2 linked regions of the Caenorhabditis elegans genome follow. The protein of the gene in region 2 interacts with the protein of the main gene of each other region in a pairwise test. Each region holds a gene or a part of one and is shown on either strand. Other genes may lie near its edges. The genes, in order: nhr-142 and nhr-45.

Region 1 (16,637 bases), on a different chromosome or scaffold from region 2:
AATCGGTAGACAATTCCATGTTTAGGTGGGGTCAGACAGGTGCTAGAAGAAACAAAAAATAGGCTGGTAGGCTCGTCCCGCTTCGCCTTATATACTCGCTCGTTGCGAGAGATGATGCAATAGGCCCTGCAGGCATGTGTTGGAAGGGCCTAAGCGAGAGAGTGTGCGCACGAGAGAGAGCACAGGCGCGGCAAGGAAAGGCCTATGTGGAGGAAAGAAACAAAAGAAACACACGGGTTGCATTGGAAGCAGTTTATGTACGAAAAAAAGGTTCAAAAATTGAGATAAGAACACAAAGAATTCGATTTTCGTGAATTCTGAACGAAACTTTACGTTTTGGACAGTAAAAATTGTGAAAATGAAGCAAGACAGTAGCTAAATTTAAAGGGAGGTGTTCTATTATGGGCAGGTCTCGCAACGCACAAGGAAGTTTTGAATGGATACGGTAGGATTATTTTTTAAATTTAATTCCATTATTTTTGAAAATGTGGTATATTTCGACACTACAACAGTTTCATAAAGGATAAAAAATTTATTATCCAAATACATATTCACGAGTTCAATGATTCGAGTCGATTTTCTTCTTGATGGTGAACCCATTCGGGTGATAAGCAATATCGAATGTTCCATTTTTAGATTTATAAACAATTGAGCCAGATGAACTTGGAGTTGAGTGTAGATCGAAAACTTTAACGAGCAGTCTTGCACTGAATTTCACGTTTTCAGAAGTAAAATATTCGAAATTTGTTGATTTTAGAAGAACCTCCTGAAAGTTTATGTTGAAAAATTGATATATTAAAGGAAACTTACATCTCGAAACTTGATGATGTCATCTCTTGAGAAAGATTCTCCAACAAAGTCGAAGTTCATAGATTTGAAGTGATTGAGATGCTTGACAATAATAGAAAAATGTGGAACTTTAGACAATTTCAGATTCTTTGCTTTTTTCCACTGTTCCAGGCCCACCAGATTTTCTCTTTCGGAACCAAGACATTTAATTGTTAAGTCTTCCAGAACTTCAGGCTTAACGTGTTGCAGAAGTTCAGCAATTTCATAAGTGTCATCCCAATTGATCAAAACTGATTTTGCCGACAAGATTCCAATTGATTCAAGAACGCCTTTAATAGCAAGAAAAATTCTGTACCATTCATCCATCCAGACCATAATATTAACTTCGAAACAATCCAGATTTAATCCTCGAATCTTCAAAAGTTTTGATACATCAGTCATAGCAACTTCCAATGGTTTCTTATCCTTAACAATCAGTTCCCGTTGCTCATAATTCACTTAATAGTCCTCATCCTACAATTCATAGGCCACCTGGCTATTGTTTGTTTCTAAATCAACTCTTGTCTCATCTAGATTCATCATTATCTTTTTCAGGGTAGATTTTTGATTGTCAATAATATCCTTGAAATCCCGACAAACTGCGCGTGCAGCAAACCTGAAAATTTTGTATTTACAAAACAAAAATGCAATCAATTCTTACAGATCAATTGGATTCAGTTTATCAAGGATCATCGCTTGAACGTCGGTGAAAAGGCCGGTGAACTCTTTCCTCTCTGATGTATGAAATCTATAAAAGGTACTGTGATATTATGTTCATTGAAAAAAATGACAAACCTATCATAAGAGTCTACGGTTAAACTCCCATTTGCAAGTCCCATATACCAATATTCAAAGTGTCGGTATTCCATAAAGTGATCTCCAAATACCTTGCTCATTGCTTTATATGCATTGAAAACTTCAATGCCTTGAAGATGTTGAAATAAAACGCAGATTCGCAATGCTCTAGGGTCCATGACGATACATTTAACTTTGGGATCGATTCTAAAATTTGAATGAAATTTTTCATAAAGCATACAGTTTAGTTTTTGCTACGTTGGCAGTTTTTTGAAATTACAATTCAATAAAACAGATTCACGTAGCATAACATAATGAAAAACTTACTGATCGGACATTTTGACGATTTGAAACAAACTTCGTAGAGCTGGCGAAGTATCAAGAAATAAATGAATTTGAAATTTCATGGGCGTTTGTTTTTCGTTTCACGCTCACGTAAAATTTGGCTTTCTAAAATGTTTTAATTATTTCAGTATTTTTTTTTAATACTTGAAATTAAAAAGTGATATTTATTAAAATCGTTTGGCATAATCCGCAGCTTCAGCGGTAGTCAAAAACGGGAAAGGAATATTGACAATTAAAACAATTCCGGATACAATAAAAAACAAGAAAGACCATTCTTCAGGAGTATTATTCGGACAAAGGTACCCTACTCCAAGAGGTACCAAAAACTGCCAAATGCATGCCATGAATGCAACAACAACAGTTGCAAAGTGAACATGTTGTTGGCATCGCTGAAAATTTTGGATTTGTAGATTAAATAAAATCTGGGAGAAAGAAAATTTTTACCAGTTGCAAACATTTAACTGTACCCATGATTGTAATGCCTGACAGAGTAACTGCAAAAGTATATGAAATTTGGGCAATTGTTCTGGAAGATGTCTGAAATAATAATTATTAAGATTGCTGAGAAATCAAAAAAGATTAGAGCTACCAATGACATGACGACAAATCCAGCGGCCAATCCAATCATGGAGATTAGTGTGCAGGTAACAAACTTTGTCTGAATTTGAAAATGTTCAGTTAGAAACTATTTGGGTAGGGTAAATAGGGAATTTGCTTCAAAATGCCAAAAATGGTCTGAATTTCAAAATTGCCAAAAACCAATGAAAAAAGATTCTTTGATTTCAAATAAATTCCCTGATTGAATTTCCTACAAAATCAGAACTTCAGGGCCAATCAGACTTAGTATGTGAAGTTCAAAATGTGTCGGAATGTCCCATCTCGGTTTGATCTCCGAAAATTGCGAGAATTTAGACGCAGACTTCTAAACTGATTTCGCATTGTTAAGAGTGTGCTAACTTCCCTTTTTTTAGGAAAAAAATTCCCGCATTTTTTTGTAGATCAACCCGTTATGTGACTTCCTGAAACCACGCGAACTTCTCATTTTGGAGGGAATTCAATTTACATAACCTAAAATTTCAGAAAAAAAATCACACTTTTAATAATTGAATTTATATTCTTACCCAATTTTTTAATTGTTATTTTGTGGTTTTCAAACCATTTTGAGTATTTAAAACAAAATCTACTCCACCTATAAAAATCTAACCTTCTCGGAAAACATTGTCAGTCTATCCGTTAGTTGACCTGATGCAAATTTAACAATTGCACACGAAACAAACGGTAAAGCTGCTGCCCATCCGGTGCCTTTTACATCAAAATGTAAAACTTCTCTCAGATAAGTAGGTCCATACAAAACAAGTACGTAGAATGCAACATTTCTTCCGCACATTGAAAGCCACGTTGCAAGTACACATTTATCAAAGCATATTGCTCGGTACGGAACACTTTCTTTTCCTTTCTTTGGCTTCTTTTCAGCACAAATCATACTCAGCTCTTTGGATGATACGTGGAAATGATTCTTAGGAGCATCAGCGTACAAAAAGAAAAATACCATATAGACGAGAATAGTAAGTGATCCAAAAATGTAATAGATCGGCCTCCACCCCCAATCCGATTCGCAAAGTATTCCTGAAACGGGCATACAGATGATGTTGCTCAATTGGAAACCACATGATAAAACTGCCAAAAAAGTGCCCATTTCAGTCTTTGGAGCCCATATTCCCGGAATATAAGCGACAACTGTGTAGAGGATTGATGTTCCGATTCCTTGTAATATTCTTACAATAAAAACAGCATAGAATCCCATGTGAACTGATAATGGAAAGAGTAGAGAACTGGCAGCAGAGATTATACCAAATAGTGTGAAGGTTATTCTGAAAGATAAAGATGTAGCATCGTCGAAATTTAGTCTAAACACACTTGTAATGCTCCTAATTTATCAAAATAATAAAGTTAAAAGCTTCGAAAAATATTATTTTAAATCTTCGTAAATTCGTGAATTTCCAAGCTTTCAAAAAAAAATTGGGCTTTTTGAAAAATCTCAAACACACATTTGTTTCATCTCAAAATACAATTTTTCAGTTTACAGTTTGTGGCAATCTGCCACTTTCAAGAATTTTTTTAGTATTATTTCACAAATTTAAATCAAAATAAAGGTTATAATTATAGTTTCAAATCAAAAAAAGTTTATATATTGGTTTGATTAAAATTATTGAAGCTTGATGCTTGAATAAGTTCACTTTGGAAGATATAGGTCGAAGGCTGTCAGGCAGCTATTTTGGTGCCTGCACGCAAAGTTTTACAAAACATTAGCTAGTCAATGGTTCAATTTAATTTTTTAAATTAAATAACAGAATTCCATACATTCTACTCACCTCAACCCAATGTTATCTAACATTGGCACGAGTGGAAGCAATCCAATTACTGCTCCAATTGCAACTCCTGAGAAAATCCAAGATTTTTGACTTGGATCTTCCAGCCAATGCAAATCCGTTCTGTTATTACTATGAAAGTCCACAACTACATCTTCCATACAAATAACTGTGAAGTTGAAGCTTAAGGAATTCATTTGACCAACTGTCATACACAAAAGCCTGAATCAAAACTAATTTATGTTGTACGAAAAATATTTAAACCTACGAAAGTATCATAATCAAGTATCGAGTTTTGTGAAAGAACACAAAACTAGATATGTGCCGAACATCTGGGAATCCTGATTCAATAGTTATCACTGTCATAGTTGTATTACAACAAGAATGTTCAGTTCCTTTGACAAGTAGAGTTTATGGTTGTTCATTTGCATAATCACATATAACATCATTGATCAAAACATCAAACTTGTCCTTTTTGAAAATGTGGCGGAGGCAAGAGTAGAAATACTATCAAAAATCATGTGAAACAATATTTTTGAATTATTATTTATCATTCCCAGAATTTCGCTTAATCCGTGTTTTCTAAAAATAGTTTATGTACCTATTCAATATAATTAGGCTATTCAATATAATTTTATAGCTATTCAATATAATTTTTACTTTTTCCTATTTTTTCTCTTATTTTCACGTTCAAATAAACGTATTAAATAAATAGTAGATGGGAACAGTATTGCACACGGCCAACCAATCTCGAAAGCATCAAGCCACAAGTAGCCAGTTGGTGAATCTGGCGAAGCTTGAAATAGCTGGCGAAGACTAGTTTTTTGTTTTTCTTTTTTGCCTTTCTACATCCAAAACCTAGTTCGTAACAAAAATATGTATTTGAGCATTGACAAATTATTTACCAGATTTTAGAATAATATGAAGAATGAACCAAAAATGAGAACATGGAAAAGAGAAATAAATCAAAATTAGTCCTGGAAGACGCATGGATCGGTCACTTTGACCTTGAAAACTTCGAAAATCTTAGCCAATTCCATGATTTTCAGGCGATCCAAATGAATTCTCTGAAACATTAAATCGTCAGTTTGGTGGACAATGGCCACGAAATTTCACCTGTAAACTATTCACAACAGTCATCAGTTTGATAAGTCTACCAGCATAGTTTGACATTTTGTACTCTTTCAAATAATATTGATGAAGATCGTCGGCTATTTTCCCAATGAATTTCTCTCCCGCATCAAGAATATCACCTTGAAGAGTTTTTCCTGAAATTTTAGAATTATTGGGAGAGCTCATTGAAAGGGGAAGTGCCCACCAGCAATATGCCATATGATTTGACACAACATGTAACTAATTTCAATTGTGGATGGATCAAGCTCCATAAGTGGACGAGCGACTTCTTCATACATTTGTGAGCACACATGTTGGAACATTTTTCGGAGCTCGAGGGAAGTGTAGTCGGTTATCTTGGAAAGATCAATTTCAACATCTTCCATTCGAATTGCAGTCGAATTTGAGGTGATGAGAATCTACAAAAATTTGATATTGGTGTGGAGATTTCGTATAAATGCTGTCATATTAGTCCAACAGATTTTTGAAAGGTTTCAGACAAAGTTTTGGCAGTTGCCACATTTTTAAAAAATTTCATTTTGTAAAAACAAAATTATTAGTTTTTGAGAAACCTCAAGTTACACAAAAATTTAAACCCACAAACTACTCATGTAAACTGCGAATGCTCCAAAAAAAAAAAAGAAGTTTTTTTCTGATTTTTTTTCTCCAGAAGTTATATTTTTTAAACAAAAATTGTATAAATAGCAAAGAAGTTAAATTGTTTCAATAGAACATTTTTTCGAGCTTTCCAAAATTTTTCAACATTTCATGGCATAACTGACTTCCTCAATATTTTCTAAAATTTTCAATTAAAAGTTTGATAAAATATTTTTATAAAGTTAACATTTTTGAAGAGGATTTTTTTAAAGATGTAATGACTACTGGAAAATATCAAAAATAGAAATTATGATTAAAGCCTTTTATTCTCCTTTTATGGTCCATATAAACTATTTTCTGCAAAACAAAAGTGTTTTATTTTGAAATTATATAAATATTGGTAGATTTAATACGATATGGTCGAACCTACTAATTTTTACGTTATTTTCTTGAAATCATATTTTTTCTAAACCTGATGGTTTTTTCCAATTGAAGTCGTTGTTAATGATTGGAAAAATATTTCCAAATCATATCAAAAGTTCAACAGTAATGCCGAATCTCATTTATTTGTTTTTCTTCGTTTCTTTCGTAGATATTTTATGATTTCAAGTGAGATCACGCATTACTTTCTAAGAAAAAAACTTTTCAAGAAAAAAAAAAGAAATTACTCACTTTCTCCTCTATCGCCCTTTTTCCAAAAATTTCCAGTGACATTGTCAGCTTCTCGAATCTCTGTGACACTTGCCAAACTAATTTGAAAATCGAAAACTTTTCTTCCAAACTCAATTCTCGAAATTCTTCAGAATGCATCATAAATTCTGCTTGTTTGGTCATTTCCATTCCCCACATATCAACCAATTGGTCCAGTCGTATAGTGTTTATGATCTGGTTATATTTGAACTACACTATAGTCTTCAATATGTATTATGTACTTACTCGGAAGTTTTGCATCTTTTTATTCTTCCGATGACGTCTCAAAGCCCAATCCATTTTTCCTAAAGTGCTGGTCGACTGGTAAACCGGATCATCAACTGGTATTTTGAACTGTAAACGTGGAATTTTACGGAATAAATATACGGGTCACAGCACAAACCTCCATAAAAGTCTTGTGTATTTTATTCAAAGTTCTTGACAAATCATAAAGTGGTGGAGCATCTAAACAAGACTTTTTGGATCCAGGACTCCAATCTGAATATGCATCAACGTCAGTTGCATCGTCTTCTTCACTTTGACGTTTTCTATCAGTTGATGAAATCATATCACGATTCCATTGAACATCTGAAACATAATTGTTGTGGTTGTAAAGAAACATGATCCTCAAAAAATATAACTCGTGAATTCAGGGAGAACATTTTGTGAAACTATTGAAATTTTACAACATTATTAACTGCTAATAAATGTTTGGAATTATGTATATTCGAGACTTCTGTTAAATATGATCTTGTGAAATGCCAATTCAATTAAGAAAATATTTTAGGTACCACTAGAAACAAAATAAGTATAATTTGTAGAATGATTTTATTTTCTAGTATTTTTGTCCAAAACTTACAAATGCTAAACACAAAGTTCTACAGTAGTTAGTGGGGTCAGGCTAATTTTGATTTGAATGTATATACCTAGAAAGGAAATGGTGAAACTATTTTTTTGTACTCACTATCTGCGGTCATCCCGAGTTGTAGGCACTTTTTGTACCTGCACAATCTGCACAGATACCTCTCTGACTTGTCAATTCGACATCCTTGACTTGCTTTTCTGCACGAGTATTTTTTGTCCATGACAACAGAGCGTCTGAAAACTGTGTTATTTTTTGAGTGTCCAAAACATGTACCCTACCTGAAAAACGCAGCACAAGCCCTGCAAGACAAAACTCCAAAGTGGACACCGTGTGCCGTGTGTGCGCAAACTCGGCATTCGGAATCAGATGAAGATGACGACGGCTGCAACATTTCTCATCAAATGATATTCACTTTTGTGACTTCAATTGTGTTGTGTGCCCATTTCTCTGTGTTTCATGACCTGAGAGAGTGGCGAAGAGGAAGATGCGCAGGGGTGAAAGAGATTTAGTGTGTGCGTTTGGGAACAGAAATTGTGTGTTCGGCCATGGAGTTTGTGATCATTTACGTGCTTCGATGTAGTTAAAGAAATAAGACTAGAGACAAGCAATCATATTTTAAAGTAGATCTTACTTTAGAATATTAAAAATCTCCAATTTCAAATCTAAATGTGTTGTAGCGGCCATAGATTTTATAGAGTTTGTGACAGATCTAGATTTTTGATGTTTATCGGTAAATCACAATTGTAAGATAAACTTGGATACGGTATTTTGATAATAGTGCTGCTTTTCGTAATGGAAACATAGTTTTTGTGACTCATAAGACGCTAGATCCTTATGGGATTAATTCATTGATAAGAAATCACATAACCTATGACAACTAGAATGTGTTTAGTTCACGAAATCGAAAAAAAACTAGGTGATCCTAGATTTTATCAATTCCAACCTATTGTCAACTTGATAAATAAAAGTGTATCGTCATAATGAAATATCAAATGATGAAACATTTTGTAACAATTCCTACCTGATCTACACTCATTCGGGATTGCTCTATAAAAGCCGGTGGAGACATTCCGATTTCCATTGGTGATTGTGTTTCCTGAAAATTTGGAATTGACTAAAAGTAGAAAGTAGGTTGCAAGAAACAAATATATTGAATTCAAATGTGGTAGAAACTGATCAATTCGCTGAAATTTTATAAAGTAAGCTACCCATCAGCGTGGTCTAAAAATTATCAAATTGGTAGAGAAATTTGCAAAGTTTGGGCAAGACTTTATTTGGATCAAGGCTACGTTTACGTTAAATGAGACTCTTGCCAAAATCTTACAAAAATTGAAAGCGGTACAAGAGAAGTTTGGCAAGAATTGGGCAAAAATTGGGCTCAGACTTGCCCAAGTCTTGCCCAACGTTTGCCCGAGCTTTGCCATTATAAATTTTCAACCGAAACCTGAGCGAAAGCTCGCCGAGTTGGCCAGAAATCCCGAGCTTAATTTTATGTACAATTATATCAAGGGAATTTTCTGTATAAAAATACATGTATCCAATTCAAAAGTCAGAAATTTTTTTGCAAATGTATGTAGTAAATTAAAAACAAACTACAATTTATCCGTACAATTTACAGACTACACAAAAGCCTTAAAAGCCTAAAAAGCCAAAAGAATTAACCTTTCTTTGAATTGACGAATCATCAATGAGCTCAGGAACTTCCATGAGACTAGGCTTCTGACCTCTTGAAACCGAAACAATCAACTGACTGCCTAGAGGGCATGAACCACCGATAAAATGTAGGAATGGGCGGGAATTTTGATTTTTTGCCAACCTTTCCGTATGGAATAATGAATAGAATCTTATGAGGTCTTGAACGATTGAAATGATATATCAAATCACAGAATATGTCACGGTTTCTTTAAACACATTGGTTTTATTTTTGTTATCAGATTGTGTCTGTGCGAGTTGGAGTGAGAAAACGGTGAAAGCAAAATTGAGAACAAATATTGACAGGGCTTGGGTACCTATCGAGACACTATGGAGAAATTCATAACGAATTCGTTTAGGAAGTGGATATGTGTGCCTTCTATGCGGATACAAAACCACACCTTATTTTCTATGCGAATACTTGGACTTTCAAATGGGAAACGACAAGAGGTGTTAGAAGGCAGAAAATATTGGAATATCATATACAACGGTTTTAGACTATTCATGTGTCGTTCTGACTGATTTCATCTTTTCTGTTTTATTCCTATAGTGTCTCTCTCTCTCTCTCTCTTATTGAAAACTTCCGTAGAATTGATTTTTGTACTTCTGACTACAAACCACGAACATAGCAGTTTTGACACATTGCCTACAAGCCACACGTAGTGAGGCACCACTGAATGAGGAAACGCGATATGGGGGAACAAGCAACGTTGGGAAAATTTTAGCTGGAATTTTTTTCCGTCCCTTTAGCTGAAGCTTTAGTGTGATTTGGTAAGAAAAACTCTATTTTAATCTGGAACATAAAAAATTAATTTCAATTTAATTACATTACTAACCGTTATTTCCAATTTTTCAGATTAGAATAGAGATTTTCTCACCTAACTATACTAATTATTATTACACTCATAGGGAAAAAAAATGCTCGGAAACCTGTTTCCACAGTTCATGTGTCTCCAAGTTGCGTCTCCTCGATTCGTATCTCGTAAATCAGTGGTGAGTCCATGACGCGTTTTGCGTCAAGGCGGTTTCTGGCGTGTTTTGCGGGAGCTGGCGCATTTCTCGTCTTTTTTGTGAACACTTTTTGGAACGCAGCTTCTTATTTCTTATTGGAATTGCTTTATTTTCTTTTAATTTTTCTCAATTATTGTTTCAAAAATTACTTTATTTTTTATTTTCAGGTATAATGTCGTCCAAATCGTCTGCACCACTGGAACCCACGTGGACCGAGACGGTAAATTAAATTAAAACTAATATGTTTCAAATATCGATAATGTTTAGCTTGCCAAAGGACTCACACCTCGCTCTGAATGGCCAGACAAAGACGAATTATTGGATGTTGTTTACTGGGGAAAACAGGTGAGATATTAAAAAATTTAAAACTGCAAAAGAAATAAAAAAAACTTCCAATAATTTATATAATTTCACTCAAAACACTTCAATTATGCGTTGAAGTGTTTACAAAATGGGTTGTTTCTTGGTTGAATATTTCAAAAACAAATTTTTCACATAAATTTCGGAAGTTTCTTCGAATAAGTTGGATTTCTTTTAAGAAAGGTGGAAATAGAGTAACCAATTTCAGAAATTGAGAATATCATTCAAAAAATCGATAATTCAAAAAGCTTTGATAAAATTATTCTTTTAAAAAATCTAACAATCAGTTAGCATTTTTCATTGTTTCTTTCCAGGTTATCTCCCTGCTGCTGGGCTTCATCTTCGGAATTACCTCACTAACCGGAGTCCTCGTTTTAGTCTGCTACGTTGGAACGTCTTCCGTCATTGCTCACCACTTTGTTACAAAATTCCAACGAGTGGACGAAGAAGAAGTCGGAGGATTCTGGGAATTGTCGAAAGAAGGATTCGGTGCTGCTTTCGCTACCTTCATGGTTACGTGGATCACAACCTACACGTACTCGACACAAGTGTAGAGACCTTGGAAATATATATTAGTATTTATTGAATTTTGTTTAGTTTACCTCGACAGTTTTGAGCCAAAAGCAATCAAAGTTACAACTTAAACATGTTCGTGTGCCGTTCTTCCCTTGTTATTCCAAATATTTAATTTTAAAATTATTTTATTTTTGTTCTGTGATGTTTTTTTGCGAATTGTTTATCTTTAAATAGTTAAATATCAAACCCCAATTGCCTTCCGTTCAAATATATGAATCACTTTGAATTGAATCTCTAGAATTAATTGTTGTACTGACTGAAATGGACGCTACCAAATTATGAACTTATCTCGAGTTGATTTATAGTAAAACTATGAAACAAGTAATTTTTAGATGCAACTATTAATCATCTTATCTATATTGTTGTCACTATGTGATACGGAGAATTTGACGGTTTTATTAGTTGGATCTAGATACAAACTTACTGAACAAAGAGTAATGGAAAGGAGGAAGCAAATTTTAGCAGATTGTGAAATATTAAAGGTTTGAATTCTTAGAAAAATCTGTCTTTTAACAAAGAGGCTTATCAAACTAAATAGCGCCCGTTCAGCGAATTTCAATCGGAAAACAGTTTACTGAACAGAAGATTTATATTACGGGAACACAAAATTCCGAGAATGCGTACTGCTCATCATATTTGACGCGAAAAATATCTCGTAACGACAACTACAGTAATTCTTGAAATTACTACTGTAGCTTCCATTTTCCCTCGTTTCGCCGTGTACTTTTCTCATTTTTTGCAGAATTTTAATATTCTATCGATAAAGCAATGATTAATTCATTTCAAAAAGCGAGCACGTAAATCGACACAAACGCTACAGTAGTCATTTCAAAAATTACTGTAGTTTTCGCGACGAGATATTTTGCGCAATACATTCTCAGAATTTTGTGTTCCAGTAATATGTCCACTTTCTAAAATAAATTTTGGACGAAAAAAACTAAACTCTCATAAAATAATCCTAAATAGTTACTGAGAATCACTAAATTTCAGCTCTCTTGTTCCGTTTTCGACGCTCTAAATGATTTTTCCACGGAATCTTATCCTCAAGGGATGTGGACTATAGTTCCCGCAATTATGAAATTGCCGTTTATTTCTGATTGGATAATCATCGCAGAAGATACTTCTGAAATTAATATTTCAAACTTACCGAAGTTCTTCGAATCTGAACCATCTTCTGATATGGTATTTTCCGGGTTTGCACTTCAGGATCGAGAGTAAGTTTGAGATTTTTTAGGGAATTTTAGCTTCGACGAAAAACTACGGAACCTGGTCTCGACACGACCGATGATGTAAAAAAAGAGAGATGTGTGTCTTTAAAATGTACAGTAGTCTCCATGCCTCACTGGTTTTCTTTCGTTTTCCAGTTGCTCTACTTTTTCATTTTTAAAAACCGAGTATACGAAAAAGCTGCAAAAAACAGAAAAGTTGGAATTGAAAAAAAAACAAACCGAGAGACTACTGTACTTCTTAAAGGCGCACACTCGTTTTAATTTGAACAGATTCGGTCGTATCGAGACCTGTTACTGTATTTTTGCATTACAAATTGTAAAATTTCGCATCTGCCTAATAGAGAAATGATAGATTTCAAAATTTCAAAATTTCAAAGTTTCTACAAAACAAAAGTCCAAAATATAAAAAAAAAACTGTTAAGCCCGACAATTATCCATCACTTTGGAATGAATGCTCCTGAAAATTTCCAATATCCCTTATTTTCTGCTGGTTTTATCTTGTCAAAAAGTGTAGTTGAAATTATTCGAAAAGTCGATATAAACGATCGATGGTCCGGATTTGCAATTGATGCAAAATATGAGGTATTACCATTTCCAGATAATATTATTTCTCAAACGATTTCACATTTTAGTTTGCTCAGTTTTTACACAAATGGGAAAATTTGAGGCTTCACCATCATCCTGATTATTTTTGTTGTGGAGATACCATTGATAGTTGCATTGTAAAATGTTCAATTCCCTTTCCAAAAACGTCAAATTCAATTTCTGATTCTGAAGTTCATGTCATGGTCAAAACGTTCGAAGGACATCATGTGAACCGACTTGAAGTTCTCAAAAACACTTGGGCATCCGACGTGTCACGCATAGAGTACTGTAGCGACAAAGAGGATCCGGCAATTCCAACAATCAATCTAGGAGTCGACAATACGGACAGAGGACATTGTGCAAAGACATGGGAAATATTCAGAAGATTTTTGGGAAGTTCTGGAAATGGAGCGAAATGGCTTGTAGTAGCCGATGATGATACATTGATGAATTTCAAACGGTTGAAGCAAATGTTAGAGTTATATGATTCTGGAGATAAGGTAGGTATTTCTAATTTCATAGATCTTACTATTAATGAGTATCTTTAAAACATTTCAGATAATTATTGGCGAGCGCTATGGATATGGATTTAGTTTGAATGGTGACAGTGGATATGACTATCCCACTGGCGGATCTGGGTTTGTTCAAATAGTTTTTCTAGATTTCTCAATTTGTTTGACTTTCAGAATGATATTCACGCGCTCCGCAGTTGAATCTTTACTTGCACAATGCCCATCGTGTATTGCAAATACTGATCCGGATGATATGACGATCGGAATTTGTGCACTAACAGCTGGAATTCCAATTGTTCACGAATCTAGATTACATCAAGCGAGACCTCTAGATTATGCTCCGGAGTACATAAAATATCCAATATCATTTCATAAATTTACTGATATAGATCCAATTTCAGTATATTACGAGTACCTAGTAGAATTAGAAGAATATAATCACAAATCTGAGCTTTAGGAAAACGACATGTATAACAGGAATGTGTTATTGTTATTACGAGTATCATTCATTGAATAATAAATTCTTCATCTTGAACTTCTACTTTTCCGGTTTAATCATCAAAAGTGACGAGTTTTGTTGCGATTTCAGATATGCACTAAGCTTCGATTCCGGCTCTTGATACGGGAATGCGGTATAAATAATTATTGAAACAATGACCATAAATGTGCCAAGAAGGAACATAAAACCAGGAGCAAAATCAAAAAGAATCCACGATCCAACCGCAGCTCCGATGATTGCCATACTCTGTAATATATTATTTTTGTATTGGACATCAGATGAATTTCTTGCCTGAGCATATGCTTTTAGAATGTTGTCGGCGTACTTTATTACCACAGATATCAATATTCCACCAACTGAATTGGTGACTGTCAAGCAAACGACCACGAAGTCCCAACCACGGAATGCGCCTTCTGAAAAATTAGAATTTTTTAGAAATAAAAGTGAATTTAAGTTTTTTATCATTCTCCTGTTTAAATGATAATTTGTAAATTATTGATTTTAGAAATCTACAGTATTTTCTCTATGCACCCAAAATTTTGACGGCGTATATATACGCCGTCAAAATTTACGCGTATATCTTAGTTGTCATTTGTCCTATAAAAAAGTTATCAATTGATAAAATGTTTATCATTTCTTTTTCTATCGTTTTGCAACTGATTATTTTTTGATATTGTCAAGCTGAGTCAAGATATACCTACTTAAAGTAAAGTAGTGGGGTGAAATACTTTTAGAGGAGATACGGTCTTTTTACAGATGAATTAAGCAAACGCGAAATATGAGAAAAACGAGCGTTTTTACAATATTTGTAACCTAAAAACTAGAGTTTTCTGCAAGTAAAATACTCATGGTTCAATTCAAAAATCGACTCGCAAGATGTAAGCTGCTTCAACTTTATCCAGGGCCGCCTTGATAAAAAACATTCATCAGCAAAAATGGAGACAAATATGTGCACAACATTTTCTCACTAGAACTTTTTTTTTGAAAAATAAACTTTTATTGCCATTTTCTAAAAGATTCCCTGATTTTCTTACCAGCGAATGTTCATTCTTTGGCAACAATTTTGTTTTCGCCGTTCTCGACCTATCGCTCGCGCCACACTCCCCCCACAAAACCATTGTTATTCATCCGCGACCGTTTTGAAACACTTGATGCAACGAATGCAGAAGCTCTCTTTTCTTCATGCTCACATACAGAGCAACAGGCAATGGTCAGTGTGCAAACAGAATGCGGGTGGGGCAAGCATGTGCTCTGGCTCTGTTCCTTCCATCGGATTGTCTGCTTTTTCAAGAGGTGTGAAAAGAAAAGAAAATTGACAATGGGCACGGAAGGGGTGAAGCGGATCCATCTCTTTTCTTTTCTTTATCGAAGACACACTCAACACACAACTGTATACCTCTCAGGCTACGACCGATGATCTTTCCGGTTTCATTGACACCTCCTTACAACCCACTTTTTTCAATTTAAAAGTTTTCTTTCGAAATTCGAAACCCGGTTTACTTAAAACTATTAGCAACTCACGTTCATTTATTTTTTCCCAGTCATAGTACCACATTGAAAGAAATGAAATTGGAAGTCCGATGAGTGCAAGACGAATGTTTTGAACCCAAATTGATGCATTGCTAGATTTCAAAACTTTTTCCAAGTAGACACCTGAAAAAATAAAATCAGTTCTATTTTGGGATAAGAGAGGGATAACCTGGACAAACAAATCACTTGATTTCAAAAAAAAGTTGAACATCAAATGGAAATGGTCATTCAAAACACAGAGGATGTGTTATCTACCAAAGCTATTATATAAATAATGGTACACAATAGGCACTACTGTATTTTTAAGATAAGTAACTTTTTAGTATAATTCTTTTTTGTTGCAAATTTCCATGGGAATGAACATTTGAAAATTTAGATTGTATTAAAATTTCTCACAACAGCAACTTCGCCGCAGTAAAAGCAACTTCTGCCTCCCACAACTTTACTACCAATTTTAACAACTTTCCAGTTTGGCATGTATACAGTTGCTAGAGTTGGACTGTTGTTGAAAGCCCATTTATTGCAATAAAAATTTCCAATTGTTATTCTACGACTACAAAAGCTCAACAATCAACTCAATCAAGGTGAATGGTCCATTGGAATATTTGGAGATGCTCTTCCATATTTTCAGCAGATTTTTGCTATTACTGGCATAAAAAGTTGTGAGTTAAATGCTGCAAAAAACTTGTAATTTAACCGTATTTTTAGGTGTACAAAATATTATTGTACAAAATAATGTCGTAGTATTGAAAAATATACAAATGAAATAGCCTTATCCCAAATTCCCTTTTTTTTGCAAATTTCCATCCGGTCCTTCCAAATCATTTTAAACTTGTACCTGCAAATGCTGAAGTGAAACACATTGTGAGCACTGCCATGAATCCATACATTGGGTTCTGCTCAACATCTTCACTTGCTGGAGGCGGTGAGTATACGTACTGAATGTCAGCAACTCCCAACACCAAGAGAACAAGTGCCCACCACTGTTTCGTTGACAATTTCTTTCCCAGGAAAAAGTACATGAAGATTGCAGTTGTAAAA
Region 2 (16,118 bases):
TTCGAATTTTCTGCAGAATTTTGCTATGTTTGAAAATCAAAAGGTTTGTTAAAACATTTTTTAGGTGCGTTCAAGATGCAGCTGATAATTTGAACATTGTTAAATAAACATGTGCTAAAAGTGCCAAATGTTGCAAACAAAAGAGCACAAGACATGGTTCTCTACCTAAACGTTCTTTGAGCTACCGAGACTGTTTCATTGGACTAGAAAGATGAAGATTTGTATTTTAGAAAGATTTGCGCTTTGTTTTCACTAAAAATTGATGCAGAGAAACTTCTCTTTGTCTCTGAGACACGTGCTTTTTATTTGCTCAAAACGGTCAAATTCAAAGACCAAAAGATAAGGGTCTACATACTTCACATCTATTTCCATCGTTGCAAAAAGAGTATTCTTTTCAAAAGTAGTGGTGTTTCTGAAAGTTTCAATAGTGTTTCAATTAGCATAGCATGCGACAGTCTGTAATATTAATTTTCGCGGCACTATTCTGAATTTTCTATTGTTATATTTCAATTACTAAAATCAATAAAATCTAAAGCAGGTGCACATAATTTTATTTCGAGAAATGATCAGTAGATAATTCGGTCTTTTTGAAGTAATTGAATCTACAAATGTTCTAAAAAGTTTCTAAAAATGTTCTCAACCTTTAGCATATCCATAGACAACTTGAATTGTGGTGTTCAAAAAAGGTGTTCGTCTCTAAAAGAAACTGCAAAAACGTAACAACAAAACGAGGAAGGAGTATCTAATTAATAACTTGAAAAAAATTGATTTAAAAAAAACATGGAGAAGACAGAAATGTGATGAATCTGGATATAACGAGAACTTTTTTGATTGAATTGTGTTAAACGAAAATTTTAGTTTTCCTCAAAGGTATCGCCCGTAGGTATCTTTTTAATATAGTAGAATATGAATCTCAATAACCGAGTATAACTGTTTGAAAAACATTTTTCAAAAATGTTAGATGAGTTTTTGAGTTTTGCATAAGACTTATTAGAACAAACAACTGTTTTCTTAGAACTTTTTTACCTAAATTAATTGACTTTTTCCAGTAACTGTTTTTTCTGTGATATTTTAAATTGAATAATAAAAGAAAAACCTGAAAAGGCCATTTAGTTTTTTTTTTGTTGAGAAACGGAATGTGCCATAATCAGCCACTTCTTGCAAAATTTAAAAAAAATTAAGAAAACCAAAAAGGTTGTATTAATTTTTTACTGTTGTACCACGCCTTTAGTAAAGTTTTATAATTTTCATTTCTTTATATTTTGACCAATTTTGTCTAACCTATGATTTTGATGTTCCCCAAAACGTGATTAGAATTTCGATCGTAGTTTAATATTTTATTTCGTTCTTAGTTTTACTCTGCTTTCGTTTACTTCAAATCTAATAAGCTTCGTATATGTCAAGCGTTGATCTCTTTAGTAATTTGTACTGGACTTTGCTCATGATCAAGTTCCTTCTTAGTGTGTATGCGGTCATCTGGTCGCGCACAAAACGCACCACAAGGCGTGCACTACTGAGTGCAAATTATCGCTTTTTCCTATTGTTAAACTTTTCGGTGTTGTCCGATCAGAGTTCAGGAAAACACAACACAGAATAATAGTGTTTCCAACAAATACTCTCCAGAAAAGCTGTCAGTTGTAATCAATTCGAAAAAATACCAGATCAATGGGTACTACGTTAATCGTTTTCCCCTTTTCCGATTAGTCGTTTTTTTTTTCTGCCAGATCATCACCAAATCTGTCATCATCAATTTTCGCTTTTTTGCTGGTGGCGCCTTTTTTTTTTTGGAATATTTGATAGGCAATCCTCAATGTCGTCTGTCTTTTCTTTCTCTTTTGGTGAATTGGTTAATCAAAGATCTTGTAATTAAACAGTGTAATGTTGGAAAAAAATTGCATAAAGATCACTCACAGTATATTATTTCGTTCTTGCAATAGTACAACTTTCTCGTCGGCAATTCTCGAGTTTTTAAGATCAATATGTATTTACAATTTTCATGAATCGTATCGAATTTCACTTGCATGAGCAAATATGTTTCGTTGCACTAGCCGCACATGTGATTCTTGAATTTATAATTCTGACAAACTCCGCTATTGTGCCAAGGTGAATTTAAAATATAGAAATAAAAGAAAAAGAAACTTTGTTGCTTGTTTACAACTTAAAATGCGGATAAGGTTTTTTTAGACCACTTGTTTTAGGAGATTGAAAAAATGTTTCGAATTTCCAGAAACTTGAAGTCGTAAAAAACCCAAAAAAACCAAGATATTGGCGAACTTGGATAAATTTATCTATTTTTATGTATATTGTAAACGGTTATTTTAGTTTCGTTATATTTTTTATATTCATGGTTAAACATGTTAGAGCAAAATTGAGAAATACTGCAAATATGCTTTGAAAAAAAAAAAAAAAAAAAATCAAAATAAAAGCTCCGCCCAGTTCCTGGGTATTTTTGCGCTTGAAGTTTCTAGAATTTATCCAATCCGTACATTTCAATGTGTTTTTTTTTGATATATCAGTTGTGGGGATTTCTAGTAACTTCTTATTTTTAGTCCCGGGCAACATATTACAAAAAATTATCCCATTTGACAAAAATTGCGTACACATATCTGAAAAATAGGCTTATCTTTGAAAAATTCAAAATCGGAGACAGTAGATTCCCAAACGAATATCAATGGTTTTTTTTTCCTAAAAATTATTTCAAATTTAGAAACATCATTAACTCAATGCTACTTTAAATGAAATAATATGATCGCTTGGATAATATGATATTTTGCAAATATGATATTTTGCAAATTCCATTTCTGGCAACTCTAAATATTTTAAAAATCTTTGCTATTGCAAAAATCATTTATTTAGATCATTGTTGCATACGCATTTGTCCTACTAATTTGATAAAACAAACGTAAATTAATTCATGATGACACCCAGATATAACTACACCACTTGATTTGAAGTGATCTTTTTATCAATTCTGATATCACCTTATCAATCATATCCGATTGTTTTTTTCGCGTTGTATTTTAGATTATATATCTTGTTACCTTTTTGATTCCGTTCACCACAAAAACCACAAGAACATGCATACTAAAAGAGAAAAGATTATTTTGGCTAGAAAATTTTAGCGTAGTACCTATACTTGACTACTTTTAGCAATACTTTCTTTCAAAACCAATTGCCTTTTAGAAAACTTCACACACCAAATTTAACGACAAAGACAGTTAAAATCACAAGAGATCAGAAATCATCCGAGTGAAAAGTGCAAAAGAACTAGCGAATTGAAGCACTTCTTCTTTTCTCTTTCTCTCTGCGTCTTGACACCAATGACGGGAGAATTTTTGCTTTCAATATTTCTCGGTCTAGTGATTTCTAATATCAAAAATTAAATAAGCAACAATTTTTGGTTTTCATTTGATTGTTATTTTTATTTTTCGTTCTAGACACCAGCGCCAATTTTCATTTTGTTCAGCGAACTTGAACGAGAAAACGACGAACCATTGCACTACCTTTTCCTATTACTCTCCTTCTCTCTTTCTCTCTCTCTCTCTCTCTCTCTCTCTCTCTCTCTCTCTCTCTCTCTCTCTCTCTCTCTCTCTCTCTCTCTCTCTCTCTCTCTCTCTCTCTCTCTCTCTCTCTCTCTCTCTCTCTCTTCTGTCTCTCTATCTCTCTGTGTCATCAACAAACAGGGGTGAAGAGAGAAAGAAACTGGGAGAGGACGACGTGTTGTAGCGCTTGAATATTTGCCAAATCGTTGTATGCGCGCACTGTCTGACGATCCCGCGCATTTTGTCGGGCATAACAGGGAAAGGAAGAGACATTTTGGAGTGAAATGATGGAAGAGTTAGAGAGGAATAGAGAAAGAGAAAGAAACAAAAAGAGAGTAAGAGAAAGGTCTCGCCGGTCCGAAATATTACGCTCCTTTTCTCCCTCTTTTACTCTTGCTGGTAGGGAAGGGAGGTCGATGATGGGGGAAAAGGAAAAAAAAAACGAATATTTCGCAATGCGTATTCTCTCGTACTTTCTTTTTTCACCTCCATTCCACACGTCATATTTGTCTCTGATTCTTATTGATTTTTGTTTCATTCATCAGAAAATTTTGAGATAAGGAAAACCGAAACGGTACTGTGCCGCGTCTCTTATCTTCCACAACACATTATTCTCCTTCTTCTCGCTCTTCATTATGCATTTTTGTTCTTTTTCACTTCGTAGATTTTACTTTGTAGCAAATGGAGTTTGTAGCTGTTAAATGGAATTTGAAATTTGTAGAGCTAGAATAACATTAAAACAGAGATTTTTCTGACTTTTATACTCTGCAAACGTTTTATAAGAAAAACGGAAACTAGTTTTGCTCACAAGGAAAAACCTATAATCTTTCACATCACGCTTTTTTCTTTTGCTGTCTGATGTGGTTGATTGGCAGCGCGGGATACCCCGTTTCATATTGAAAAATATTTGAACTTCACAATAAGAGCTCAAAAAATATTTCAAAAAATCATTATCAATTTTTTTTTTGAATTTATGTTATCAAAGATTTTTTGCCTTGTCAAAACTAAAATAATTTATGAAAAAGAAACAATTTAAATTTTACAATATCAGAAAATTTTTCAAAAGAGTTTAGCGTCGTTTTTCTATTAGTAATATTTTAAATTTAAATTTCAACAGAAAATTAGGCAATCAAAGTTTTTTTAAAGTTTATCTCATACTGTTAGAAGAAATATTTTTTTGCATGTCGTACTGGAACTATTCTAAAAATGTTTGTATTTTTATTTATTAAAATTCAAAACTGTTTTTTGAATTGTGTTCTACTTTTAATATGAAAATTGATTCTTCCTGAATTTCCCATAAGAATACACCTGAAAAAGTTTTTTAAACTTTAAACTTTAAACTTTATAATCTCATAATTGGTGATTTTTCGTAGTTTCTGTTCTGATTTAATACGTAGATCAAGATCGGTGGATTGGAACTAGACTAATGATCAGTGTTTAATGGGTTAATATTATAAAACTTTTCTATAATATTTATTTTCCTAGGCGTGATCTTCTTGCTTTTCACTTTTGGATTTAAATAAAATATTAAAGTTAATCCAATAATCTATCCCGAAGTCAGCAAGCGAAGTCTGCTGCCATTCAGCATTTCCTCATTCCTTTGTAAATCTTCTGAAATAGATATAAATCTACACTTTTCTCTCTTTTTTTTCAAATTTTTCTGCAACCACCAAGTTCACTTCATGACAAAACGCAGCAAACAATTGTCGGCAGGCTTACGTCGCCATGGTAGTGTCTTTCAAACAGGTGCTTTCTTTCGTTTTTAGACCAATGCCCAGTGCAACTTGTATTAATCGTGTATCCGTCATTTCCTGACTCAAACGGGAAAGCGACCCTAATCCGTACGTTTTACTTCAGATTAGTGGGCGCAATTTGGAAAGCCCGATGCATCAATTTAAAGTTTACAAATTTTGAGCTGAATCTTTTTTTTTTGCTGTAAATTATATATTTTTCTCTCGGTGTCGAATAATTAGAGAAGGAAAAAACACAAAACTACAACTTTCAGAATCAGAATCCAATTTCCTTTGATGATCTTCGTCTAGTATTTTTTTGTTCTATAATACTTTGAAGTGTCTGAAGTAAAGGGGAAAAATAATTCAATTTGGAGAACCTTACAACCTTTTTTTCAACAATCTTCAACATGTGACTTGCAAAATGACACACTTGTAAAAATATGATGTCAAAAAATTGTGGAAAATACTTTCTTTTCCTGGCCAAATTGATTTTATCGTATGATTAGTAATTTTTGAATCAAATTGATAAGAAAAGTTATACGCATAAAAATGGCCGTCACCTCCATTGTTGGAACATTGTGAGCTTTTGTGGTTGACGTTTCAAGCATTTCTTTTTCTCTCTGCTCTTTCAATATTTTAATGAAAAATTATTATATCTGCGTGAAAATGTACCCCACATTCTTATGTTTATTTCCATTGATCTGAAAATGTAATAACTTTTCTTCTTTCTTGCCACATCACTTCACCTGGCTGTAGTAAACTTGCACTATTGAGAAATCTTTTGAAGCTTTCATTTTTATTGAAATTTTATTTATTTTTCACTTCATAACTATGACAACCCATTTCTCCATTAATCGCACACTTTTTTTTTCAGAAACAACTAGCAAGATCAGCATGTCGTGTCTGGTGTGTGAGACCGATGCACACGGTCAGCACTTTGGTATCCGATGTTGTCGGGCGTGTGCAGCATTTTTTAGAAGAACTCTTACAATGAACCTTAGGTACAAATGCCGATTTGATCGAAAATGCGAAGTTTCATTTAGTAAGTGTTACGTTATTTTGGCACCCTAGGTTCGTTCTGACATTGGTCTTTTTCGCAATAGTCTTTGTGAGTCGACCGATCAAATATTTGAAACAGATAACACCGGAAACAAAATAAACGAAATCATGACGTGCTTTTCAAAATTTAAAATTTAATTTTTCCAGATAAAAGGTACTCCTGCAGATGTTGTCGTTATGAAAAATGTGTTCGAGTAGGAATGCGAAAAGACAGTAAGTGTTTTACCCGAGTTCCTTGACCCCTAACACACTTGACAATATTTGCAATCGAAAAAGACTCGAGTACTTCATCTCCAGATCAAAATAGCATGCATCCTTTCCCCACACACAATTCCCCTCCAATTGCAGATCTCACATCCCCTGTTTCAGTGGTACAAAACAAATCGGAGACCGAGAAGGACTCGTCTGGAAATGAGACTGACAGCATTGGACATTCTCCGCATTCTTCCCTGGAATCTTACACGTGTCGACCGCCGAGTTTCGAGCAGCAGCAGCAGAACCAGAATCCAGATCCTCCGTTATTAATGGGCAATAATGGAACGTTTGTGCAGGAGGTTGCGTCGGACGCCTATCAACCGAATAGCGATATGCATCAGCTAAACTTTTCGTTTCACAGAACTGTCATTGAAGAGGTTTGTAGTTTTCTTTGAAGGTTTACTTTACCGACCACAAAATGATGTCGGTAAACATTATAAAAGTAAACACATATTGATTGAAGATGAGTCATAATCCATCGACCAAATTGTCCCAGTAGTGGAATTTAATCCGCGCCGGCTTCTTATGCTTGCGATTCATGTACATATGCATTATTCAATGGACTACTACTGAAGCACTTGACAAATTTTCTTTCTGACCAAAATTCTAATTCTATCCAGCACAAAAATTTCATTAGATGAAAGTCAATCTTGTGGACTCGGGCAACACATCGTTAAAATTATATGCTTCGAGAAAAGCCATTATCCCCATGACAACAGGGCAGCGCAAGTTTGAGCGAAATAGCAAGCTGAGAAAAATACATCCCATTGTTACTTTGGCTTTTTGCGCTACTTTTTGAATTATTTTTTGAATCAGTGCAATAATGCCGGCGTTCTTTGTGGTGGATAAAACTGGAAGTCGCTACGCAATGCTCGGTGCTCCAAATGTGACTTCTGCTGTAAGTTCAAACTGACCGGAAAAATACACTTTACGAGTTGAATTTTCTTATCACTCAAATCACACTCATTTGTTCAGGAATTATCGAAACCCAGGCACACTTCGATTAAATACATATACTATACAATTAAATACATATACTATACATACATATGTACATGAAAATTGCATAGAGCATAATTTCTATACTTTCAGGTGGGTCGAGCGGTAATGCCAACTCCTCCATTCCAACAACCACCAATTCATATTCCGCAACCTTTCGACTATCAATACACAGATTTGTTGAGCACAGACGAGCAGAATTCATCGGCCATCCCCTCTTCGTTTACACAATATAACCAAGTACCTCAAGAATACAATAATGAATCTGGAAATCAGAATCAAATGTTTGCCATGGCCGCACAACAAGCAACCCAGGATCTTCATGTGAATGTGCAAAATGTTTTAACGCCGACTATTGATGCAATGTTTGGACAGGTAAGAGTTAATGTGGTTTGTTAAGTTGTACTACATACGTACATTCTGATTCTGATTAATTTTTTTGATGAGCAACTGAAAAATGTAATTTATGTGGAATCAGCCGTGGTTCATTATAGATGATGTCCAACAAATGAGAAAGTTATTAAAAATAATTTCTATGATGCTATGATGACCAAATATCGACAAATATGAAACTTTTCAAAAAACGTTGATAAATTATTTTATTTGAAGTCAAAAATAGGTGAAGCATCAAATCCCACCATTTATTTTGGAAGTCGTCGATCGAAAAAAAGTTTTCTTTCAGTGATATGTTTTAAATATGTTCCAAATATTCATATTTCAACATTGTAGGAATTCAAACATGTTACAGTGATTTAGATTTCTTGAAGAGTGGCGCAAACTCAGTTTTCACGACTTTCCGAATCAGAATAAAAATGTTTCTAAAATTTTTGATAAACGTTTTTCAATTATTTTTTTCATACTTTACTTTTAACCAAAAACATTTCACATATTTCTGAATCTATTCTTTACAGCCTCCTGACGCATTCTGTCAACTTCCGGACATTCCACTGACCCTCTGTCAGCAGGCTTTACTGGCTTACAGAGAACATAATAAACAATGGCCAGATCAAGACAAGGTGAGAATAATCTTGTTGTAACCGATAATCAAAATAGCAAAATAGATTATCTCAGAAAATTCTAGATTTTCTGAACTTGTGATCTCTATTCATAAAGCTCTTGCACTTTTAGATGATTGAAAACGTGCCTCTCGATATGGAAAATTTCATGCGCAATCATTACATTGAAATTGAGCACATTGCACGATTCTGTATGTCTATTCGAGTTTTCGCCCAACTTCCAAAGGATCAGAAGTGGATTATCTTCAAGCACTTTTGGACGAGGTTCTATGAATTAGATAGATGTTTTGCAACTTGCCAACGACTCGGCTATAACCTCACTGACGAGAGGGGGCTCACGCTGAATGGTCAGATTATCAATTTTGGAATATCTGTTGTGAAACTAGAGAATATTAGTGATATGGATGCTACACAAGTTAGAAAGTTAGTTGTTTAAAATTAAGTTTGATGAGAAATATTTAATATGTACTTACTTATTTTTAGTTTCCTAAAAGGAAGTATGGATAAGTTCCGATTGATCTTTATCAACCCGTTCAAAAAGTTGCAACCAACCGAGTATGAGCTCATGTACATGATGATGAGCATAATGTGGAGTGTATCAAGTAAGTTACTGAGCTTTTGAAATCAGTACTATTCTTTAACTGCAGACCTCCCTGGAATCACTGATGCTACTAGGGATATATCTGAAAAGGTTGAGCTTCGGTTAGCTGAAGATCTCCATACTTATTATGCTGAACAGTATGACAACAACAATCCAAACTACGCTGGTAGAATAACACGGCTAAGTAGCATTGCCTCCGCTGTTGATGTGAGTTTTTTCTTCATTTCTAGCGTGTGATTTCGAAATTATCTGGATAATATATATAATGTATATATATTTTCAGGAGATCACTGAACGAAAAAGGGAGGATAGTCAGGTGTCCAAGACGTTCAACATTTTCAAGAACGATTTCTTCTTCAGCGATCTCACCGATTTCCCAGTCTGATCTTTTTCTTGTTGTCCATAGTTTTATTCACTGACTTTCAGTGTCTCAATTAGGTTGACAAGTGCTCTCGTAACTTTAAATCTCCGATGATTTTGAAATATCTAAAATCTAAATCCAGTTATCACCAGTCATTCAATTTATGTGTATTATAAAGTGCCTAAAAATGTGAATCTTCATTTTTCGGCACGTCGTCACCTCTGACAAAACTCATCTTTGTAGTATAGGAAACAAAAATGTACTTGATTTCATTTAAAAATCCCAAGGTCTTTATCTACAGCCCCTCCAAAATTTTCAATTTTTTTCACTATCTGTTTTTCCCTTGCTCCACCTCCTTAAACGTATCCCGTAATCAAAATCTATAATCTATCATATTGTATTCTCCAGCAACAAATGCAACCAAATGTATTAAAAATGTTTAAAAATTTATAAAGATTATTGTCACACTTTTCACATCCAATTACCAGTCTGACTCTCACGTTTCCAGTGAATAACAGCGTGTTTCAAAATGTCATGTGCTAATAATATTGAACATATTAGCAAAAACCTCATTGAAATTCTACAAAACTGCATCGAGTACGTTTTAATGAATACAGGTAAAATTTTTGAAAATTCCCAAAAAATGTTTTCATTATTAATCATTTTTTGATTGAATTTTAAATGTTTTCCCAGAATATGAACAACGAATATATATATATAAAGCAGTCAATTTTTTAATGATTTTTAATGACTGCACAGTTACAATATTAAAATCATTAAAAATTGTATAAGTCAATACAAATTGTTAAACATATTTTCTCTAATTTTATCTTTTTTATTGTCAAATTTTTAATAGCACTACATTTTACTGTTGTATTTTTGACTACGGTTTAAAATGAGTCGAAAAATGAGCATTCTCATGAAAATAATTTATATAAGCTTTTCTTTGCCGGTTGCCAAAAATTTTAAAGTTATGTTGTTCGATTTGCTTATTTTCGAAGAATTGAGGTGTTTTAAATTGCTTTATCAAAATCCGACCCGCAAGTTGTTAGCTCCTCCAATTGTGAAAATTAAAAAACTTTACCAGAAACTGCGTGTCTTTGATTTATGCTTATAGGATTAAATGTAAGAGTTATACACAATTAAAATTCTTTTGACCGAATGAATTTTATACAGGTTTAATGAATTTTCATATCACTTTTAAACGTATGTCCAAAAAACTAACATCTAGGTGTTCTAAAAGTCTAATTATCTCTACGTCCAAAATTATTGTTTGAATACTATCCATAAACCTGTCATATTTTAAGAAATTTACGATTTCTTGGCAAATAATTTGATTTGCTTTTTTTTTTACTTCAGCTCACATGTAACTCTATAAAGCGATATATAAATAAAACTCCATACTCAGACGCAGCCTAAATTGTTCTCTTCAAAAGCATACACTGTACTTTTTCATTTCGTTTCCTCCCGTTAACAATATAAAAAGTGCTCCATCATTCCTCAACTATTAAAAATTGTCTCCTCTTGTCAATAGTTCTTGTTCTTCCGTCTTCAACTCCTCCGCAACTTTATTTATTCCCATTTTCTCTTTTTTAGTTCTAAAAAATTTATGTTTCTGTCTTTATTTCTCATCATGTCACAATCAAATAGAAGAAGCTCCGGTAGGCGGTAAACTTCTGTGTGCTTGGAGTACAATAGAAGCCGAAACCAATACAATAAAATGACACAGAAGAGACAAAAAGAATAGTTCATCTCATTAGCTCAGTTGCTCTGATTTGCTATTATGAATAATCCAAAGGGTCTGAAGAACCCGATAGCTTTTGTGTTTGTAGTTGTTAGCGAAGAGAAAGAGGCGTAACATATTTTCATATAGTAAGCAATTATTACGCAAGTGTTGTTTGGAAGATTGTAAATGAGATGAGCAACGAGGCGAAGAATGGGGTCTCCCCGGCAGTCGCCGCAGATTTCGTTGCCCAATCAAAACTACCCCACCGACTCCACCCCATCTGCTGTCAGTTTGATTTTGAGCCCCGATCCAATAGGTTCTCGTGAGAGTTTTTTGTCGCGTTTCATTTCTTGATGATTTTTCTTGATTGAAAAAACTATTGTGGCAGTGGTTTTAACTATGCCCATAACTGTTGGAATTTCATCAGGTATGAAAATTCCATCAAGTTTTATCATATGTTACTGTTCCCAGGATCGTTTTTTGAGATTTCAAAACAGCAAAGTGATTTAAATTTTACATTTTTAGAGTTAGGAGTAATCATATCTATGCCCCATTTTTTAAAATTCAACAGATCATATATCAGTTCTTAATTTACATATCCACAAATCTTCAATTGACAAAGTACATATTTGTATTTTCTTCATATATTATTTATTTTATGTTTAGTAGAGATTATCAATTGACATCTTCAAAATGAACCGAGATATAACCTCACAAATTGAAGTCACCTATTACGGGTCCCGCAAGTATCATTCCTGTTAACAAACAAAACCAGCTGTTGTAAACGCCAGCGTGCTACTTTTTAATAAAACCAAACACACTCACATTTTCAATTTTTACTGCCTTAACCAAAATGTCCCAGAAAAACCACTAATTTCTATTACTGAGACATTTTGTAAAATATCGTGAACATTCTCTCTTTCTCACTCTCGTTCGTTTTTTTTGTTGAATTCCAATTTTGGAGTTCAAGGCCAAATTGCACTTTTTTGTTTGTAATACAAGCTTTTCATCTTGACAGCTATGAATGGCTTTCGTGTCGAAGATTTGCTATCCGAACGGGAAAAAGACTCCAACTCGGATGAAGCCACGCATCAAAAGTCTCCAGCTGATGGCGGGAAATCGAGTCGGAAACTCAAAATGCGGCGAGCCAGAACTGCATTCACTTATGAGCAATTGGTTGCGCTGGAAAACAAATTCAAGGTTGGTGAAACGTTTTTTTTTCGGGTTCTGCATTTTTTAAATTTCAGACTTCACGTTATTTGAGCGTCGTAGAGCGTTTAAATTTGGCAATTCAACTTCAGCTTTCTGAAACTCAGGTAGCCATGATTGCAGTGAAAATTTTCATATCTTCAAAAGTAGTTCAGGTAAAAATCTGGTTCCAAAACCGGCGTACCAAGTGGAAGAAACACAATCCGGGACAAGATGCAAATACGCCTCAAACCCCACCATCTTCCGATGAAACTCAGATTCAACCAATTCTACCGGCAAATCCTATAACTTCATTTAGTTCATTGGTAAATAACAATGCATTATTATCAATTCAACCTTTAAACACCTATATTTTCAGCTTTTGCCGCCAATAATATCTCCAGCAAACTCAGCAGTTCTACAAGGAACATCCATCCCATTAACACTGTTCAACTTGAACCAAATTCTAATGCCTCAAAATGTGGGCTTCAATTAAATGGATATTTTGTTTTTGTTTTTTTTTTCGGTGTTTTTTTTTCTCTTCTTACAATTTGTACGGGTTCTGAGCTTAAACTCTGACCGTTTAATCTATTCCATTTCTATCACATGAGCTTGAAACTTGGCTTAACTTATAGCCCCCACACCTAGTTTTTAAAACAACCATTTTAGTGTGTAGACTCCGGTTTCTATATCTTTGAATCCACATATCTTTCTCATTTCCTGCAATCCCATTTACCCAATACTTCAATTTCATTCAATCCGGTTTTATTATCGCTTGATCGATATGAAATGTCTTAAATACAATAAAATTGGCCCATGGATCAATGAAGTAATGATGATTGAAAACAGAATTGACCCATGATGCTCACGACCACGTGTCGCGCAATTAAATCATGCGTATTTCGTAACTCGACCCCGTCTTGGCGGTTTTGTTTCAAGCTGTGAAATGAGAGGGGACAGCTGAGCAACATTTTGGCAGAATGTCTGCACTTCTCGAAAGTAATCGAGCCTGTTCACATTATTAGTTGTTCTGAATAGAGTTTAGATGAAAAAGCGCCTTCATCATTCAATTAGGCCATGCAATGCACATTATAGTAATAAATGTATATAGATTTGTACATTCTAAGGTCGAGTTTGAGTTTTTGAATATATTATATTAGTGTTTCACCCCATTGTTCAACTTTGGCAGCTTATCAGTTGTTGTATGTTTTATTCAAATGTTGTCAGCCGAGATAGAGCCTTTCAAAGTACATTAATCGGGTGCAATAGAGGAAATACAGTAGATCAGGATACGGCAAATATTGCATTGCTGCTTGAATTCAACTTTTTAAAAAAGTATTGTCAATGTGGTTTTTCATGGAAACATTAACAATAGTCGAAGATACAGTATGCCTAATTATGAACATCAAAACTTTTCAAGATTGTCAGAAAATTTTCAGCCAAAGTTTTGGTCACTTGCCTACTGTACAAATCCTCTACATTTTTCAGATAAAAGTATTGTTCGGTTTCCAGAAGGATGAAAACTGAGTGATTTTCAATTAGTTTTTCAAGAAATTTGATTTGTTTTGTAGTGATATTTGGCCATTGCCGCACAATGAAAGTGCAGTGATCAGCTTCTTAAAATAAAATAAAACTTTTCATAAAAAACATTTATTTTTTAACTTCAAAATGCAATTTCCATCATCCGGTCGTTGTGAATCTCGGCTCACATCAAAGTGAGAAGTGACGAATTGGTCACATTATTCAGATAAATATGATACCGCATAAAAATTCAAATATCTACTGCCGGATGTTTTTATCGAGGCGCTCAACATTTGAATAAACGACTTTGGGAAGGTTGGCAATGGTGGTGGAGACCCCGAACGATTTTCACAGCTGCATCATTGTCGCTGAATTGCCTGAATTGTGAAAGCTGTACCAGTAGTCTTGAGATGATTATTGAACTCCCAACAATGTCACCGGGATCTGGAAAAATCAATTATTTTACTGGGACTTGATTATTTCGATACATCAGTGTGATCCATCAAACATCAAAGAGTCTGTCAGTGGGAGCTGTCATGTTATCTTGCGGTATTGGCAAATTGCATCCAAATCGTTTCAAGAAGCGGCTGTTGTGGTACAATCAAACACTTGCCAATTGTCCCACTTAAACATGTTGGCGACTCAATTTACAATGATTTGTAGGTCACACACTGACAACTCATATCATTGGCGAGTCCGTCATAAGTGGACCGCAAAAAATGTGTTCGTCGCGGTGAAAACAGGGGATGGGGCGAGGTGTAGGGAGTTATGGTGTTTTGAATGTTTTCCGGATGACAAACAAGTCAATGAGGTCTCTATGTCGAATCGGCACCACCCGACCACAAAGTAAATGATGGGTGACAAATGAGCCTTCAACCAATTACATAGGAGAGGCCCTCGCATTTGTCATTGCATCTTTGCCTGTTATCAGCTCTTGCTCTCACTTGTTCCGTGTGAACAAGTGGATGGATTTGCTGGCTTGTTAATGAATTACACTTGGACACAAAATTGAGGGATTTCATGGAGGGCAGCACAAAAAAATGTGGTTTAATTAGAGGATTTAAAAACAGAAAATGTTTTGAAAAGTAATTGAAGCACTGTTTGAACCCCTACAATATTGATATATAATCCAGTCTGTGAAAACTGAGATTTCACCGCTTTTGGACTCGAAATTAAAAAATTCCAAAATTTGTTGAACAGTTTTATTATGATATATGTTTATTTTCGCACTACATGAACAGTTTTTTATATTTTCCCCATTGGCCGTGATCCACATTTCACTTATTCAGTAATGATAAATTTTGCGTTATGTACAGCCTGACGTTATAACTAAACCATGCTTATTTTCCATGTTTTGAAACGAGTACAGTATTATACAAACTAGAATTCTATAAAACAAGCTCAATTTATATCCAAAAATGTCAAGAATATGTTTTTCGACCGGGAACATCGACCGGGAATACAGATATGAGTTTATCAAAAAGATGTAGTTTTTTAGAAATGATCAAATCTTGGCCTCTCTTGAGGGGGCCGGGAGTGTCGCGAATGCGGAGACCTGAACGGTCATCCTGTCACGACTTTTTGGAATGATAGAAATATTAGTTGAAAGGAGAATGAAAATGGAAATGGAATTAGAGCAATGAGCAATGATGAAATGTGGACACAATGAAGAAATGACATTTCGGACCTGAGGAGTGGTTTATAATCAGCTTCACTGATTCCAAGCTGTCTTCTAGGAGCCGGGAGTGTTGCGAATGCTGAGAATATGAATATTCGTCAGCTCGCAACTTATTCTTAAATGTGAAGAGTTAGTGAACTACAAAGAAATGCAAGTATATTATATATTATTATTACGAAATAACCGCTAGTCAATGCTCAACTTTATCTATGCAACCCAACGACGACAACCCCGCGAAAGAGCAACAATGGAAATCCCTATTTGAACTACCGCCAATTGGTCTCGCCAGGCCGACACTACGACACACGTGAAACGACTGCTACCGTAATCTCCTCCACCTGGGCGGCACGCGCATTGGCCGCAAGGAATGGACTTCGTCCTCGTGCTACTTCTGCTCTCACCGAAATGCTGTCGGTCAGCACTTTAATGTGGTTATGAA

Evidence for each region.
Region 1: the proteins of nhr-45 (region 2) and nhr-142 interact in a two-hybrid assay, tested with the Caenorhabditis elegans proteins (one large-scale study listed by BioGRID).

The regions. Positions count from the first base shown.
Region 1 is NC_003283.11:5,780,758-5,797,394, forward strand, and holds nhr-142 (Nuclear Hormone Receptor family), read right to left. Parts: upstream 9,797-16,637; 5' UTR 9,310-9,796; coding exon 9,265-9,309; exon of another isoform or gene 9,189-9,264; intron 8,699-9,188; coding exon 8,624-8,698; intron 7,985-8,623; coding exon 7,881-7,984; intron 7,836-7,880; coding exon 7,702-7,835; intron 7,326-7,701; coding exon 7,141-7,325; intron 7,092-7,140; coding exon 6,984-7,091; intron 6,933-6,983; coding exon 6,720-6,932; intron 5,870-6,719; coding exon 5,656-5,869; intron 5,606-5,655; coding exon 5,454-5,605; intron 5,405-5,453; coding exon 5,309-5,404; 3' UTR 5,200-5,308; downstream 1-5,199. Other genes in the region: F44E7.5 (F-box domain-containing protein), read right to left, coding at 1-19; fbxa-183 (F-box domain-containing protein), read right to left, coding at 560-766, 811-1,203, 1,321-1,444, 1,490-1,576, 1,624-1,830, 1,951-2,030; F44E7.7 (Major facilitator superfamily (MFS) profile domain-containing protein), read right to left, coding at 2,136-2,357, 2,413-2,505, 2,558-2,626, 3,173-3,839, 4,341-4,559, 4,606-4,703; F44E7.9 (Rab5-interacting protein), read left to right, coding at 10,478-10,525, 10,573-10,650, 10,980-11,219; ZC250.2 (N-acetylgalactosaminide beta-1,3-galactosyltransferase), read left to right, coding at 11,574-11,723, 12,232-12,455, 12,893-13,052, 13,103-13,555, 13,614-13,693, 13,742-14,024; nstp-3 (UDP-galactose transporter), read right to left, coding at 14,106-14,312, 14,358-14,479, 15,588-15,719, 16,435-16,637.
Region 2 is NC_003284.9:4,650,350-4,666,467, reverse strand, and holds nhr-45 (Nuclear Hormone Receptor family), read left to right. Parts: upstream 1-6,149; 5' UTR 6,150-6,169; coding exon 6,170-6,317; intron 6,318-6,481; coding exon 6,482-6,547; intron 6,548-6,682; coding exon 6,683-6,966; intron 6,967-7,681; coding exon 7,682-7,963; intron 7,964-8,499; coding exon 8,500-8,604; intron 8,605-8,716; coding exon 8,717-9,027; intron 9,028-9,087; coding exon 9,088-9,206; intron 9,207-9,251; coding exon 9,252-9,412; intron 9,413-9,488; coding exon 9,489-9,590; 3' UTR 9,591-10,035; downstream 10,036-16,118. Other genes in the region: Homeobox protein ceh-1, read left to right, coding at 12,313-12,492, 12,540-12,608, 12,657-12,806, 12,860-12,976.